2 linked regions of the Mytilus edulis genome follow. The protein of the gene in region 2 purifies or fractionates together with the protein of the main gene of each other region. This does not show direct contact. Links are inferred from orthologs where the notes say so. Each region holds a gene or a part of one and is shown on either strand. Other genes may lie near its edges.

The links.
Region 1: the proteins of vesicle transport protein USE1-like (region 2) and sec1 family domain-containing protein 1-like purify together in Homo sapiens (affinity purification with mass spectrometry; 3 studies listed by BioGRID and IntAct, counting the BioPlex papers as one, with this or other methods). This does not show direct contact. The link is inferred for Mytilus edulis from reciprocal best matches to the Homo sapiens genes USE1 and SCFD1.

The regions. Positions count from the first base shown.
Region 1 is NC_092350.1:47,218,675-47,227,627, forward strand, and holds sec1 family domain-containing protein 1-like, read left to right. Parts: upstream 1-5,983; 5' UTR 5,984-6,025; coding exon 6,026-7,930; 3' UTR 7,931-7,982; downstream 7,983-8,953. Other genes in the region: protein limb expression 1 homolog, read left to right, coding at 1-114. UniProt on the Homo sapiens protein: Plays a role in SNARE-pin assembly and Golgi-to-ER retrograde transport via its interaction with COG4. Involved in vesicular transport between the endoplasmic reticulum and the Golgi.
Region 2 is NC_092347.1:63,337,606-63,347,193, forward strand, and holds the start of vesicle transport protein USE1-like, read right to left. Parts: upstream 3,463-9,588; 5' UTR 3,348-3,462; coding exon 3,252-3,347; intron 1,896-3,251; coding exon 1,846-1,895; intron 1,510-1,845; coding exon 1,431-1,509; intron 764-1,430; coding exon 595-763; intron 1-594.

The sequences.
Region 1 (8,953 bases), on a different chromosome or scaffold from region 2:
AGAGAATTAGAACTTGCTAGGTTAGCTGGACGAGAATTGAGATTTTATAAAGAAAAGCGAGACATTTTGGTGCTGGCTTTAAGTCAAATTGGTCCAGCTGAAAGCATTGCATAATATTGTAATTTTTCTTTATCTGTTTATTAGGACGGCATGTACTCATACTCTGTCTAGACTTTTTTCGGGAGGTCCCAGTTTTCATGCTTGTATACAAAAAATTTAGACTCTTGAAATAGCAATGAAAACTGGTGTCATTTTTATGATTTCATTGTAAAATAATAGGATTAAAATATGGATGCAAACTTCATATAGATCTGTAAACCATTACCTCATTAACACTTGGAACAAGATAATAAAACTATATGTGTACTATAAAATTGAATTAGAAATCTGTTGTAGAATAAGTTATAAGGGATGCAACAATGTAAATGCTATAGTTTATAACAGTATTTGTACAATACCATGCTTTCATTACCACTACATTGCAATTGTAAAATGCTATATTTTGTTTACATATCGCCTATTTAGTAATGCAAAAACATAAGCTTAAGTTTGTAAAATTCAAAAAGTTGTAAACTGTCCATTTCTTTGACAATGAACATGATTATGATGATGGAAAAATCAAAATATTTGATTGTGTGTTATTTTTAATTTAATGGTTCTTTCAAAGGTCAGTACAATAATCAACAAATTATTTATTTCATATTGAATCATTCAGCTAATTTTCATCAAACAAAATTAAAGTTAAAACAGCCAGTCGCTGTCCACAGTTTTCATATGGGTGGAAGGTATGCTGGATTTTGGGGTTGGACCATAATAACAAGTCATATGGTGATATTTGTCAATCATGGAATCCCACAAACTTACAAAATAATATCAAATTAAACGATTCTTTTTGGGCAATTATTTGTGTTTCTTACTACGGTACTTCAAGAGGCATTTCTATATTATAATGATGATTATTTCACATGAAAAAGCGACATTTTATGGAAAATATCTAGTAGCGATGCATTTATTTTGTCTGTTTTTACTTAGTAGTTTTGTAAAATAACATTTCTAGTCTTTGTGGTACTTAAAAATCATAATTCAAAAGAAGTTTCTTTATAAATACATCGATGTTCCATTCTCAGTTTTGTGCACAGGCACTGATCTCAGATTCCCATCCCCCATATATACCTTAAAAAGTGTTATATACAGGTATAAAGAAAAAAAATCTGAGACAAGTGCCTGTGGTTTTATGTACTAATGTTTTTTTTTTCTTTGAAAGATTGTATACTGTTAATAGCTATGATTGTTACTGTATATTGTATTAACTGTGAGAGAACCATAAATAGTAGTGGGAAAAAATGTTTGATATAAATTTAGTTGTATGAGGGGGCAGTTTTTTGCAAAGACTGTCAACATACTTACAATACATACCTCATTTGTATATAGAATGAGCATTATTCATACTTTCTATGCAATAACCACTCATGTACAGTTTCAATGCATATCAGGATTCAATGTTCTAATATAGATAAAGATCTGCTTATATACAACAGTATTTGCTTATTTTCTACATTATAAATCTTATAAATCAGCCATATATTAACAGACATGATGTTTTCCATTTTATTATTTGTTTTTGCCTATTACTTAAAATGTACTGTTTTTGCTACTTTTGATGAACAAAAGTTTCAAAACAAAGAAGACCTGACCAATTTTAATAGTAAACTTAAGTAAAAATTTTGAAGAAGCAAATTGAAGATCTGGAACTAGAAACTTTTTGGGAAGTAAAAATTTTGAAGAAGCAAGTTGAGCATTTTGAACTAGAAACTTTTTGGGAAGTAAAAATTATGAAGAAGCAAGTTGAACATTTTGAACTTGAAACTTTTTGGGAAAAATTATGAAGAAGCAAGTTGAACATTTTGAACTTGAAACTTTTTGGGAAAAATTATGAAGAAGCAAGTTGAACATTTTGAACTTGAAACTTTTTGGGAAAAATTATGAAGAAGCAAGTTGAACATTTTGAACTTGAAACTTTTTGGGAAGTAAAAATTTTGAAGAAGCAAGTTGAACATTTTGAACTTGAAACTTTTTGGGAAGTAAAAATTATGAAGAAGCAAGTTGAACATTTTGAACTAGAAACTTTTTGGTAATTCAAGCTAATGTTAACCATGTCATTTGATTCTTGGCTCAATACGAGCCATTTTGGGGTAATTTAAGGGTAAATTGTCATTTTATCATTTACTTTTGTTTTTTGGATAAATTAGCTTTGCTAGTTTAATTAAGAAAACTGATAAGATATTCATAAATTTTTTAATAGTATACTTCATTAGAATTTAGAACTCATAAAAAATGTTTGAAAAGTCCAATTTAAGGAGATAGACTTAGGTTAAGGGAAATAACTCTTAAAATCATCAGTACGTTGGTGTCAACCATTTTCAAAAATATATTCTAAGCTTCTACGTTACATAGTTTATTTTTAATCTGTTGCAGGTAAATGCTTTAAATACATTGATGAACTTGACTTTAACAAATGCTTTACTGATTTAAAGAGTTATCTCCCTGAACCAAGGTCTACCCCCTTAAGTATCAAGTATAGTGCTTCTAATATTATATTCATCATACTGTTTTATTCTTGAGAAATAGATGATGATTCATGCTTTACATTGTATTTTAACAAGTTGAACATTGTCTAAACATTTTATCTTGGATATTTTGATAGCAACATACCAAAAAAGATACAATATTTTTAACAAACAAAAGTAGAAAACATCTAAAACAAAAAGTCATGATATAGAACATAGCATTGCACAAAATTCAATGATATACAAAATATAATTTTCTGTCTAAAGTATTTATTATTTATTTGGTTATCATATGCTATCATTGTTTGAATTATGATAGCGGAATCTCTTTTGAACATTACATATTTTGGTATATAATATATTTAAACACTTTATTGGAGTCATACGAACAATATTTTACATTACCTATGAGGGGTAATAATTCCTAGCAAACATGGGTTAAATTAAATGTTTTAATATTTGATGCTGGAATTTTTATCCAAAACAAAAATTATCCTTTCTTTGTCTCATATTCATGTTTTATCAGTTTATTTGGAATCCTTTATTTTTATATTGATGTGACTATTTATTGTATATTTTTTAATATTATGTATATACAAATATATCAATAACTTTGTACTACATTTTCATGCTCTTTTAACTTCATACTTAGTGCAATATTAAAATATTTGTTGTGTAGATATGTAGATCAAATTTGTGTCTCTTAGCTATAAAGGTTGTTTTAAAGTCTTTCATTCAACCTTTGTAGCTAAACATACTGTATCAGTTTTAAAAAATCCAGAGGGAATTTAAAGTCTTTTTTATGCTATAACATTTTTATAAACAAATATTCAAGTGATATTAGAAAATAATTTGTTTAAATACAGGACTTAATTATAGTATAAACAAGAATTGAGAAAAACCTAGAAACAAGATAACTTTTTTCTTCATATATATAAAAACTGTTTGCATGAAAGAAAAATCATGAGAATTTTCAGTATCTTTCATCTATAAATTTCTTTAATGTTTTTTTTTATTAAATTTCAGAATTGAACTGAAATAAAGAAACGAGAAATGTAATTTGAAAAAAGTTGAACACCAAAATAAAAGACAACTTGTTTTATATATATTATCTCGTTTTCTAAAAAGCAAAAAACATTTTCCTTTTCCCTGTATCTGCATATGAGTAAGATTTCATTAGTTCAGTAGTTTTCTTGACACATTCAACCAAGGATGTCAAAAGTTAAATTTGTTGAAAATTTGTATTGTGGTAAGGGAGATAATCGCCTCTATTTAATAACTTACCTAAATCTAACTGTACTACACAAATAGCAGTTATACTTGGTATCCAAGTAGGTTATTCAAGACCAATAGTAACAAAAATTGACCTTTCTTACAGTAATTTAAAAAATATAACAGTAATCAGGTTGTTAGACACTTTTGTTGTTTTTTTATGTAACTGTTTCTTTTGATGTTTATATATTCACATATATATATATTTAGTTTATATCATGGCATAATACAAAACCATCAGAGTAACTAACAGAATCAAATAAAAATATCTTGCCTATTTTTGCATCTTATTTCATTAGTACATATAAAAAAGAAGATGTGGTATGATTGCCAATGAGACAACTATCCACAAAAGACCAAAATGACACAGACATTAACAACTATAGGTCACCGTACGGCCTTCAACAATGAGCAAAGCCCATACCGCATAGTCAGCTATAATAGGCCCCGATAAGACAATGTAAAACAATTCAAACGAGAAAACTAACGGCCTTATTTATGTAAAAAAATGAATGAAAAACAAATATGTAATTAGCAGTGAATATGGATGTTTGTCCATGGTTCATTGGTCAATGTTAAATTTCTGCTGTTTGGTGTGTATTAGATACTTTAAGCAAATTAATCTAAGTCTATATTTGGTATATGAAATGATTTTAAGGTGTTATAAGTCCATTACTCAGATATATTATGCAAAGGGTAAACTATATTAATTGTATGAAATTATTGCAAGGTGAACATGTTTGTTTGATGGGGTTGATCCTAATCCTTGTTATAATTTTATGGCTCAAAGAAATTGATTCGATTTAAGGCCTATTATGGGTTTGCTAGATGCTTTATAAGTAGTAGTATATAGCTGTATTTGATGCATGAAATCATTACATGGTTTTCTGGTATGTTCGTGTTTTACTGACCTCAACTTTGACCTTGATTTAATTGATTATTGTTCAGGTATGAGTGATTGTGGTAAGATCTATTTCTTAGTTACTATTAGCATAAGCTTTAATACAATTGATGTACAGAATGATTGTATGGTGTACATATAAAAAAGGAGATAAGGTATGGTTTTCACAACTACCCACCAGAGGCCCAACAAGTATGTAAACGATAGTAACTTAATGTCACAACAAACCATCAACAACAAGCAAAACCAATATGGTGTAGTAAACCTTAAAAAGCTAATTTCTAATCAATGACAAACCAGCAAACTAAATTCTAAAAATATGACAGATAACAACCTGTCTGCCATAAAGGGTTTATCTTCCCTTTCCTCATTTAACTCATTTAACTTCATTTGTAAAGGTTAGATTTCATGATAAGTGTTTTATAAGCAAGAGTTCATTATTTAGTGTATGGAATGGTTGATCTGATAAACTTGTAAAGTGTAAATGGCAGTACGACAGGGTTACTGGGTTATCTGATCTTGTCCATATTTATACGGATCATAATTTATTGATGTTTATAAACATTAAATAGTTTATATTCAGTCTATTTTAAACCAGCACCCATTATCCACTTGCTGGTTTTAATCTGACTGAGTTTATTTGGTACTTGTAGTAAAACTTTAATGTGAAAGACTTTCAGCATAAATACAATTGTGAAAAATAGGCAAAACATTTGTGTTAAATTTGCATAAAAAATGATAAAAGCTAAACCTTGTTTTTCTTGTGTAACTTTATTGAACATTCTTCAAAAATTTCTAAATCTGCACCTGCACATGGCATCTTCTGTCTTTTTCCTATTTTATAAAATAAAAATAAAAAATTGAGATTGATGAACCTGAAGATTAAGATAATCAGTATGTTGATGGCGATTTAATATATGGCTGGAGTAAACAAACATTTTTTTCAGAATAATGCTTGATGAATTAAGTGGTAATGCGGCTGCTAACAGAGGATCAAAATGTCAGAATTTTGTCTCAAAAAGACATTTATCCCTCATTTTCACAAGCACTTGTCTCAGAATCCCCCTTTGTATACCTTAATATAAGTTAACTGTGTTATAAAGTGTTAATTCAGAGACAGTATCTGTGCCTAATAATTTCCCTCCACCTTTAAATTCAGTTCAAGGGTTCTGGAAAACAATCTAATGACTTGTGATTAATCAAAGTGAAAGTGAAAGTAGAGTTGTCCTTCTTTGGTCAATGTCATAAATGCCACGTCAACCTCCAGGTGGCAGTAACAACAAACATGGCTTCCATTAGGGAGAAACAAGTTCTTGCTTTAAAACGAATGCTTAATTTTAACACTCCTCCAACAAAATCAAGCTCAGCAGAGCCACAATGGAAAGTACTCGTCTATGATAGGTTTGGTCAAGACATAATCTCGCCGTTATTGACCGTCAAAGAGCTCCGCGAGTTGGGAGTAACTCTTCACTTGAATCTTCATTCAGACCGGGATTCTATTCCAGATGTTCCGGCTATTTATTTTGTATTACCAACTGATGACAACATTAGAAGAATATGTCAAGACATACAAAACCAGCTGTATGACTCGTATTACATGAATTTCATATCTGCTATTTCCAGGCAAAAACTTGAAGACATTGCCCAAACAGCTATTCAATGCAATTGTGTACAACAGGTTTCCAAAGTTTTTGATCAATATTTGAACTTTATTTCATTAGAAGAAGACATGTTTACCCTAAGAAATCTTGACAAAGAACTATCATATTATGAAATAAACAAAGGTGACGTCAAAGACACTGAAATGGAGCAGATCATGGATACTATCGTTGACAGTTTGTTTTCTGTTTTTGTAACACTGGGTACCGTGCCCATCATTCGATGCCCAAGAGGTAATGCAGCAGAAATGGTTGCAGAGAAATTGGACAAAAAGTTGAGAGAGAATCTTAGAGATGCCAGGAACAGCTTTTTCACTACTGACAATATACAGGCCGGACAGTTTAGTTTTCAAAGGCCATTATTAGTTTTGCTCGATCGAAATCTAGATTTAGCCACTATGCTCCATCATACATGGACATATCAAGCGTTAGCACATGATGTATTCAATCTTCTCCTGAACCGAGTTGAAATAGAAGAATCTATAGAAGTTAAAGGTCCAGCTGGCAATATGATGACAAAAAAGAAAAAGAAAAGCTATGATCTGAATCCGTCTGATAGATTTTGGGAAAAGGAAAAGGGTAGTCCATTCCCACAAGTTGCAGAAGCTGTTCAAGAACAGTTAGAAACCTACAAGACACATGAAGATGAAATAAAGAAAATGAAATCGGCAATGGGTCTTGAGGGTGATGATGAAGTAGCATTCAGTATGATGAATGATACAACCGCCAAACTTACTTCAACAGTAAGCTCATTGCCGGAGTTGCTAGAAATGAAGCGTTTGATTGACATGCACACTAACATCGCTACTGCCATGTTGGAACACATAAAGCACCGTAAACTAGATGTCTACTTTGAAATGGAAGAAAAAATGATGAGCAAGGCACTTTTAGACAAATCGCTGATGGACATTATATCAGACCCTGATTTAGGAACACCGGAAGACAAAGTCAGAATATTTATCATAGCATTGATCTGTGGTCCACCAATGAGTGATGCTGAAATTGATCAATATTGCGTAGCCTTGACTGGTGCTAACTGTGAGGTAGCACCAATCACGTTCATTCGTAGATGGCGAGCTTATAATAAAATGAATGCAGCGCCAAGTCAATATGGAGGAGGGGGAACAACAACTGTAGGAATGTTTAACAAATTAATGAATAAAAGTTCACAGTTTCTTATGGAAGGAGTTAAAAACTTGGTTATTAAAAGGCACAATTTGCCAGCCACCAGAATTGTGGATGGACTTATGGAGTCAAAGACATTGCAAGAAATTGAAGACTATCGTTACTTTGACCCAAAACTTTTACGTTCAGATTCATCATCAGTTCCTAGAAACAAATCTCCATTCCAAGAAGCTTACGTGTTTATGATCGGAGGTGGAAATTACATTGAATACCAAAATTTAATAGACTATGCCAAATCAAAATCATCATCAAGTGCTGGACAAAAGAAAATTGTTTATGGGTGTAGTCAGCTTGTTAATGCAGCAAGATTTTTAGAACAGTTGGGCCATCTTGGCCAAGAAATGTAAATTTAAGGGGGGATAAATAAATGTATTGTGAAATTAAATATTAATTTATTCAGTTTTTGTAATGAATCCTTTTTTGTGTGTCAATGGTTTGACAAGCTATACTTCATGTACATGTACATTTTACAACAATATAAAAAAAGAAGATATTGTATGATTGCAAATGAGACAACTCTCCATACATGTACCGGTATATGCCATAAGAGACAAAATTACACAGACATTAACAATAGGTCACTGAATGGCCTTTGACAATGAGCAAACTCCCTACCACATAGTCAGCTGTAAAAGTCCCTGAAATGAATTATGTAAAATAATTATGATTAAGAGAAGACATATAGCATAAATTCAAGCTGTATACATCCATTATTTTGATCTCATTTTCATTTAAATCGGTAAACTTTAAAAAAAAAAACATTTTGTCTTGCCTTTTGTGTAGCAAAATTTAATGGATCAGTGATCGAGGTAAAGTTTTTGTGATCAAGTCCATTTTGTAGATATGCATTATGGCAACTTATTTTGAATTTTAAAATTTTTGTAAGGCTTTCTTGTCTGACTGACAGGTTTTCTCTAACTTGGCATCAATTTCATGGTTTATAGGTCAATGTAAAGTTGTTGAGGTTTGTTGTTTCTCAGACACTATAAACAACTGATTTATGTATTGTTATATAAAAATGAGGAGATGTGATATAATTGCCATTGAGACCATTCTCCACAAGAGACCAAATGCAACAGAAATTTACAAGTATAGGTCACGGTGAGGCCTTCAACAATGAATAAAACCGCATACTGGTAGTCGGGTACTTGTATAAAAGGTTTGGCAAACTTTCTCCAAAACTGAGGTCGTTAACGCAAAACTGACATCAGTTGAAATGATCAACAGGTCAAAAGTCTGTCTCCCTTGGAGTTTTAATGAATAGAATATTTAGCAAAAACAGGTATTCAGAAAAGTCGTGGAGGAAATCCTCAATTGAAACCTTACATGAGTTATTGCCCTTGAGATATGATTTTAACCCATTTATTCAG
Region 2 (9,588 bases):
GAAAATGTAAAGGGATATATCATGAAGTTCAGCTTAAGTACGTAATCTGACTTGAAAAAAATTATATCAATGAAATTGAGTTTCAAAAGGGATGATCCATGAAGCCTGTTTCCAACAGTTGACCTCTAATCCTCTATATATAAAATTGCATTAGTTAATGAAACAATTCTAAAACATTTTAAAGCTTCACTGCATTTATGTTTGATGGATATGTAACGTATAAACTAGCCAGATCAGGCATGGTTTATATCAATAAGCTTGGTTAAACATTGTTAAATAAAACCTATAGTTGACAAATATTTGTTTTTTACATGCTTTTTGTAACAATATTTTATATTCTGAAAATAAAGCTTTATAAATTAAGTTCCCAAGAGGGGCGTTTCTGCATTTTCCTTCTTGAAACCGAGAAAATGAATACCGGGTAGTTGAAAACAAAAGGAGATAAAAATGTTTACATATGCCATATACATGTAGTTATAAATTTCTATAGCTTTATGATCATGTCTTGAGTAGTACATATAGGCATGCAGATTTAAGAAGTACCGTTACACCTGAACTGTTGATTAAAACATTTAAGTTTTTAGACTTACTTACCATCAAGTTTATCTGTCTCTGGTCCCAATAACTCTTCTCTTAAATCTTTTTGATGTCTAGCAACTGTTTTTTTCTGCAATTCTGCTGATGAAACAGAGTTATGTCCCTTAGCAGATTTTGCCACATTAGGAAGTTGTTCTGCAGCTAAAGCTTTCTCTGTTACAGTTGGCTGTTACATGTAAAAGAAAAAAATAAAGAAATAAACTTTAACTTCTAATTAACAAAACCAAAAGTATGTTATGGCATAATTATTAAAAGTTATATAACACTGTACTCCATCTATTATTCTAAAAAAAAAATTACATATTTTCAACAGATTTAATTGTTTTTTGAGCTTTAAATTAACTGAATGTTGTCTATTATATATTCATGCTGTTACTTTATAATCACAATACAAATGAACTAATTATTTCAACATATATATACATGTATTAAGAATGATATTGAATAATTCAATTCATATTCAATGTTACATGATAAATAACAAGAATGTGTCCCCAGTACACGGATGCCCCATCCGCAATATCATTTTCTATGTTCAGTGGACAGTGAAATTGGGGAAAATCTCTAATTTGGCATTAAAATATTTAGAAAGATCATTTTATAGGGAACATGTGTACTAAGTTCCAAGTTGATTGGACTTCAACTTCATCAAAAACTACCTCAACCAAAAACTTTAACCTGTCGCTGGACAGACCGACGGACAAACGGACAGATAGACGGACAAACGGACGGTTGCACAGACCTTAAAACATAATGCCTATAAATGGGGCATAAAAAGTTTTATTATTTTGGTCAAATGACTTTCAAAATTCCAGTTAAAGAAAAACAACTACCATTTTTTCTGCCTGAAGTAAACCTTTCAAGAATTCCACCTTACGAGTGTATTCATTTAGCATATCCTGACCTGGCTTCCTGAAAAATAATCAAAATGAAATCAAAATGAGTATTAAATTATTTTTTTTAAATTTCCACTATAACATTGCATGTATATTATATATATATATATATATATATCATATGTACATGTAAGTTTATAAAGTTGAAGTATCAAAAGGGACATGTTTTTTAGCATCTTGGAAATAAGGAAGTAATAACATATGATATTGTGAAAAATCTAGTGTTTACTTCATAAAAAAAAATTCAAATGCCAGTTCAAATTAATTGTAACCATGTCGCATTTTTCATTTTTCGCAATAGTAAAAACATCGCAATAATTACTTAATTGACAGTAATGTAAATTATACTTACATTGAGGACTTCTTAATCTGAGATAACTGGTCTTGCAGTGCAACAACATACTGGAATTAATAAAAGAAATCATTACATAACATCATTCATTTACCATGTACATGTACATGTATACCTTAAAATGTTTATATTAACAATACATACATGTGTTACTTATAACACTTACACAGTGTGCTTGTAACACAAAATGATATAACCAGGGTTCACAAATTTCATATAACATGTATAGAGTGAGATTGAGCAAAAATGTTTTGCTTTCGTGTATGACTGTTTAACCTGATTTACTACCCTGGTATCGCGCCCAATATACTTTCGCACCCTACACGTTCGCACCTCGCACGTTGGCACCCAAGGTCCGTTTGCATTCTACACGTTCGCGCCCAATTTTAATTCAAATTCCAGTTGAATAATTGGAAAATCATCATTGTTGTTTTTAATTGCTTTCGTGTAAATACTGAATGTATTTATAGCTTGGTATGAGTAAAAGATTGAAGATTATAAATGAAAAACACAAAAGATAATTGTTTTTAACAGCTTGGTCCCTTTGATCTGAAACAATGAAACAATAAAATATAGCAATACACTATTATAACCAAAACATGATAAAATTTATTCAAGACTCAAAAAAAAAAAAACGTAGTCAGAATCTCACTTCATTTTGAAACAAGTCAATGAAACAAAGTTATACATGTTATAGTAATACACTAACCAAAACATGATAAAGAGTTATTCAACACAAAATAAAACGTTGACAGAATCCCACTTTATTTAGAAAGGAATATTTTTTTTTTAACAATACACTATCCAAAACATGATTAAGATTTATTCAACACAAAAAAATGCTGTATCACTTTATTTTGAGACAATGAAAACAATAATACTTATAAGAATACTACTTGATTACAAAGTTGAAATAGGGCGCGAACATGTAGGGTGCGAACGGACTTTGGGTGCGAACATGTAGGGTGCGAAAGTGAAAGGGGTCGAACATGAGTGGGTGCGAACGTGAATGGGCGCCAATGGACCCGGATTCTACTACCCTCATGCATGTAAATATTAAAAAGCAAAAGGGGATAATTTGTGCTATACAAATGTAAATTTGTACATGTATAATTTCCATATTCAGTGATTAGTACGAGATTACTCTGACGTCCAACGGCTGTTTTGCCAGACAAGCTTATCTGGCAAAACAGCCTTTGGACGTCAGAGACAGAGTAAAATTATCTCGATAATTTCAGTGATGAACATGTATTTTTCAGCTCCTGCTTTGTGTTTTTGAATATAACTCCCCTCCCCTGGAGTCAATAAAGGTTTTTTTTCTGGGACGCCTTCGTCTTGCCAGACGTCATAATTATTTGGACTAAACTTATGATGTTATAGCTGTCATTTATCATATGTCTGTTTACCTTCTCAATTCTCCAGTCCCACAAACTTCTTTCTTTTGCCATATTTTCACATCTCATTAACAACCGACTGAAATTTATTTCAATCCTTGATGACATCCTAATTTTTCAAAGAAACAGGGCTTTTACTTAAATGATAAATCGGGCTATCTTAATAAATGTCCACGCAATCACTGTGAAGTCACCATGTTGCATTCTACTTTGCTCTTTTGGGTTTTGGTCTGATTTGAAAGGAGCGTTCGAATTTTCAGGCGACACTTCCGCTGTCTTCAAGAATATAATTCAATGAACTTTTTGACTTATTTTGTCTACAGTATAACACAAATTTTTATATAAAATATAACACAAGTACAAATAATAAAAAAATGGAAAAATAAGAAGATTGTATAAGATACTGAGTATGTAGGCCTATTGTCTAGAACCAGAATACAAAAGTAGAACACACCTAAGAGATATGTCTAAAGTTTAAAAACCCAAACTATATCATATAAACTACGAAGGACCAATTACATTCATATAAACATTAATAAACAAAAATAAAACTGATTCGCATGCACTTTTAACACCAGAAATACTCACATAATTGTTTAAAATTATAAATGAGAGAATATTATAGAATACAATTTACTAACATATTGGAGTGGAGATTCTGTCATGTATAAAGAGAGATAACTCGTTTTTGATTTGAAGAACTATATTTCTGATATTTCTGGTTTTATAATTTGTATATATATTTTCAATTTTTTTTATGTATAAAATCTACCTCATTATACTTGATATTTTACTTCATTTCTTTGCATGTTGTGTATTATCACAAAAATAAACCTTGCTTATTTTATGATAATTATTGTATTATGATGTTTATGTATCTTGCCAAATTGGTAAATTTATACAATATATATCATATATTGTCTATTAAATCTCTATACAGAAGAAACAAAATCTGTAAAAATTCTTTCTAAATCATCCTATCTTGTAAAAAAGACTTTTAAGTTACATTTTTTGTTAAAAACAAGATTGTAACTTTGTACACTGACATTTCCACAAGGAACTTTTTGATAAGCAAAACATTCACGGTAAGAGGTCTCATTTTAAACAAAAATAAGCATAATCTAGGACACATTTTTAATAATGAGCTAGCTGAGGCCCACCTTCGGATGCGGGGATTTCTCTCTGCATTGAAGACTCATATTGGTGGCCTTCGGTTCTTTGGTCGGGTTGTTGTCTCTTTGACAGATTCCCCATTTCCATTCTCAATTTTATACTAAGCATATACAAGTGGATAAGCTTTATACACACTGGTAAGCATTATAAAAACTAACTATGATTACAACAACTATTAACTATAAACAGTAAAAGTAAGTATACCATGTTAAACACATGTACTATAAACATAAAATGCTGCGATATTGTCAAATTTTAAACACCAATTAACTCAAAAGCGTATATCATGTATATCTTAATAAAGAAAAATAAATATATATTTTATAAGATCTATAAAAGCCACGTCTGTAAAACTACCAGTTTTCTATTTTTTAAACTTATTTTTTTAAGAAGGCCATTTAGTGGCATATATTTCAGAGAAAAATACTAGCATATTTATAGGACACGGTACGACCTTCGCCTTAGGTCAAATTCCATACATTGTAGTAAGTTATTAGTAAAGGTCCGCCTGTGAAGACGAAATGTGAGAAAATTCTTGAAGAAAAAAACCCAACGACCTCATCTATATTTACCAGTTGTTTTTAGTTATTTTCAATTGATTTTTCTTTTGTTATTACACGTCAACAATCTTTTATTTGGCTAGCAAAGTTTAGATTCGTACTAAGCTGGCAAGTGATTTTTGTAATTATTGTAAAGTATACTCACATTGAGGCATTTTTAATCCGAGATAACTTGTCTCGTTGTGACATGTGTAATAAAAAGAATTTATAATTTATCAATTAAATACCATGTAGATTTGTTTGACTTACTGGTAAAACCTATTCTGCTATATGGAGGCGAAATATGGGGTTACGAAAACATAGATATACTAGAAAGAGTTCAAACAATTTTTTTAAGCTACTTTTACATCTTAAGCCATCTACTTAAAACGACTTCATTTATGGAAAACTGGGTCGCTATCCCCTAGAAATATATATAAAAACTAGAATTGTATCTTATTGGACAAAGTTAATTACCGGTAAAGAAAGTAAGCTCGCTGCTGTAATGTTTAGATACCTTTTCCAGTTAGCACAAGAAACAACATTTCGATCGCGATCGTTAGACAAGATGAAAAGTATTCTAGACAATTGTGGATTCTCTTACTTATGGTCACTTAAACACATCAACTAACATTAAATCGATAATTAAACAAAGACTAGAAGATCAGTTTACACAGTCATGGTCAGGAAAGGTAAACGATTCGCCTAAAGCCCTGAATTATCGCCCATACAAGACATCACACAATTTCGAACACTACCTTAACGTACTTGATGATAAAGATGTAATAACAATGTCGTGGTTTAGGACAATGAACTGCCGATTGAAAATGGTAGATGGCAAAACATTCCCCGAAAACAGAGAAAGTGTCCGTTTTGCAGAGTTGCTATAGGTGACGAATACCACTATGTAATGGAATGCAACAGTCTCTTGACAGATAGAACACTACTTATTGACAAGAAATACCTAACGAACTGTAATGTCTTAAAATTTAATGCTATTATGAACCAAAAACAGAAATCTAAACTTCGAAAATTGTGCCAATTTATTAGAATTATAAATGACAAACTGGATTCTCTCTGATGTTAATCTGTCGGCTATTCTGATCATACCGTTGTAAAAAACTCATATTTAATGCTTCCTCAACAAATGTACATATATGCAAGTTATGTTAACTAATGTGTTTTTCTGTATACCTTTGTCCAACTTAATTGATACCAGAATAAAATGATATATAGATATATAATAAAATTTGTCTGTTTGTCTTTTTCAATTATACCCATGGCGTTATCAGTTTATTTTCGATCTATGAGTTTGAGTGTCCCTCTGGTATCTTTCGCCCCTCATTTACAAAGTGTGCTATAGTGACCTAATATGATATATAATTCGGATCAGTAAATTCCACATGGGACGAGAGCCAGCGATCTTGTTTTATTCAGAATTATTTCATCCATTTCCTTATACAATTAGTTGTTTGTGCATGTAGTTAACAGCCAAAATTAACGCTGCTGAAGCACTCACCATGCACTTAGATTTAAAAGAAACGAATGATCATGAGATAGCTATTTTTATGCGTTATAATTGACACAGTTCAACTAATAATTTTTAGTCTGATTTTGATTTTTTATATAGTGTAGAGATATCTAGTTGCAATAATATCTTGTTACCTCATTCGTACACGAAGAATTGCATTCTGCTACCTCGTATAGTATCCATAGTTTTGCAGGAGTTAATAAAACCACGGATTAACGTACACTTAACTGAAGCAACAATAAAAATAAAGATCGCCTGTTGTTATGTCAAATACCGCGTAGAATCTCAACATTGAGAACACCAAAGGGTGACTGGGGAATAGAAATATGGTCACTTGGTCTTCTTCCGACCGGCAGTAAAACGCTTGCCGAAGTGGGGCATCCGTTTGACTGTGCGGGATGTATCAACCTTGCAGCCACGTCCCGTCAGAATGGGGCGCTTAATCCGATGCCTCGTTTAAAGAGAGTACCGCGCTCTTTGCACGTTAAAAAACCCTAACAAAATTCGTTAAGGGGTGGTCCGTTCCAAGGCAAAATTTCTGTTCCTATCCAATACACCCTTATTTTCAAGAGGCAGTCCACATTCCCCGAACACATCATCCCAGATGGCCTCTAGTATTACAAGACCTACCTATTGTATTTTTGTCAACTTGTTCTCGTCCTGAACATGCATGAACTATTTACCACTGGACGACGTTAAGCAACCAACAATCAATCAATCAACATAGAGAAAACCACATAACGTATAATCCGCTATAAAAGGTCCCGACATGAAAAAATGAGATACAATTCAATCGAAAAAATAAGTGCATAATTTATAACAAAACAGTTTACGAAAAGACAGTATTACAGACATGAATTATACGACAACCCCTGATTACAGTCTCTTGATTTGGTCCAGACACATAGGTGTGGTTTGTGAAGACAACTCTTCCCTTAAACGCGCCAGTTATGCAACAGCACAACTTCTAATGAACAATATTTTAGCCAAAACATTTTTTGGTATTGTATTGCTTTTGCAGAAAGCTATTTGTGTCTTAAACTTTTCTGTTCTTAAAAATATTGCCTTTTTAGCGGACTTCCAACCAGTAGAGTAAACCGTTCGTTTAATTGAGAGCTGCTCGAATCTTAATTTCTTGGGGAAAATAGTTTGTTACAGAAGAGAATTGAAAAATGTTTTTCTTTAAAAGACGATTGCGTGCCTTTGAAATAAGCCTTCCATTTGAAAAAAAATATCATTTATAAAATGTTGGGTTGGTCGGTCCTTCAAATTTGATTTTTATTATGCTTCAATAAATAGAATGAAAAATAATTAATGTCTTCATAGGAAGCAAACACAACTAGAACTTTGATAGGTAGAATAAATCTGTCAATTTTTGATATTTCATCAGTGTCGTAATAGATAGAATAAGTATTTGTACAATTACTACTCTTGACTTAATTATTGATTAATAATTATAACCATGTTGTTCAATCACTGCTTCTCGTATTATTGGGATCAATATAGATTCGCTTATTTCAAGTTTACAACAATACTGCGATGTTTCTCTTCTTTGAATGATTAGTTTGTTAATTGTTACAAACTTAATATTTATGACGTTGTTGTATGACATCTTTCACGGTGTATAACCATAACGGCCACTTCTGGCGGAAACGGATACTGCCACCAAAACCAACGGCGACTTTCGGAGTTTTTCCTATGATGGACTCGGACGACGATCCGAATAATGATGATTTAGACAAATCTGTTAGGTAAGTGATACAATTGCTGTGTCCACGGAATCCTCGGATGCTTTTTTGTCATCTCGAAACCACTTATCCCAACGGACATGTATTCCTTTTATATTTGATTAGCATTTTAAACTAGTGACTATGTGTTGTGCAACTCTTTTTCCATCAAAATGATAATTATTTCCGCTTTAATTAGAACAGTATTAGCCATACTTACATTGTTTTGACGTAAACTTTCTTTTGTTAATAACATTTTGTGCATAATTCAAGATTTAAAGTCAAACTCCTTCCTTTTCAAAATTATTAGAAACGGGTCTAGGTGAATGGGTCCGTTTCTAATAATTTTGAAAAGGAAGGAGTTTGACTATAAATCTTGAATTATGCACAAAATGTTATTAACAAAAGAAAGATTACGTCGAAACCATGTAAGTATGGATAATACTGTACTAATTAAAGCGGAAATAATTATCATTTTGATGGAAAAAGAGTTGCACAACACATAGTCGCTAGTTTAAAATGCTAATCAAATATAAAAGGAATACATGTCCGTTGGGATAAGTGGTTTCTAGATGACAAAAAAACATCCGAGGATTCCGTGGACACAGCAATTGTATCACTTACCTAACAGATTTGTCTAAATCATCATTATTCGGGTCGTCGTCCGAGTCCATCATAGGAAAAACTCCGAAAGTCGCCGTTGGTTTTGGTGGCAGTATCCGTTTCCGCCAGAAGTGGCCGTTATGGTTATGCACCGTGTCTTTCAAAAAACTAGAGGAATTCCGATTTGAAGTTAATGATCGCGTGCTTTCTTTTATTTGGAAATTAGTACAAATGTACTTTGATGTTTCTCTTCTTTGTATGATTATTTTGTTAATCGTTACAAACTTTTTAAATATTTATGACGTTGTTGTATGATATCTTTCAAAGAACTAGAGGAATTCCGATTTGAAGTTAATGATGGCGTGCTTTCTTTTATTTGGAAATTAGTACAAATGTACTTTGATGTAAACAGAGATGTTGGTTTGAATGATAATGATACAATTATCCACAAGATACCAAAGGACGTGGACGTAAATAATTATTATAGGTCACCATATGGCCTTGAACAATGAGCAAAACCCATACAATATTATCATATTACATGACATGATTCATGTCTGACGTACAAGCAGCCCAAGGGCCGAAGGCTCGATGGCTGATAATTACTGAAGGCTGATAATACATCCGATATGACAAATGACGTATTTTGATTATTTTTTTTTTAGATTTAGGAGACTAGATTTTAAGGAAGAAGTATATATTTCCCGTTTAGAGAAAACATCATGGCAAACAATGGAGCTACAAGAGAATATCGAAATGATCCAGGTTACTCACCA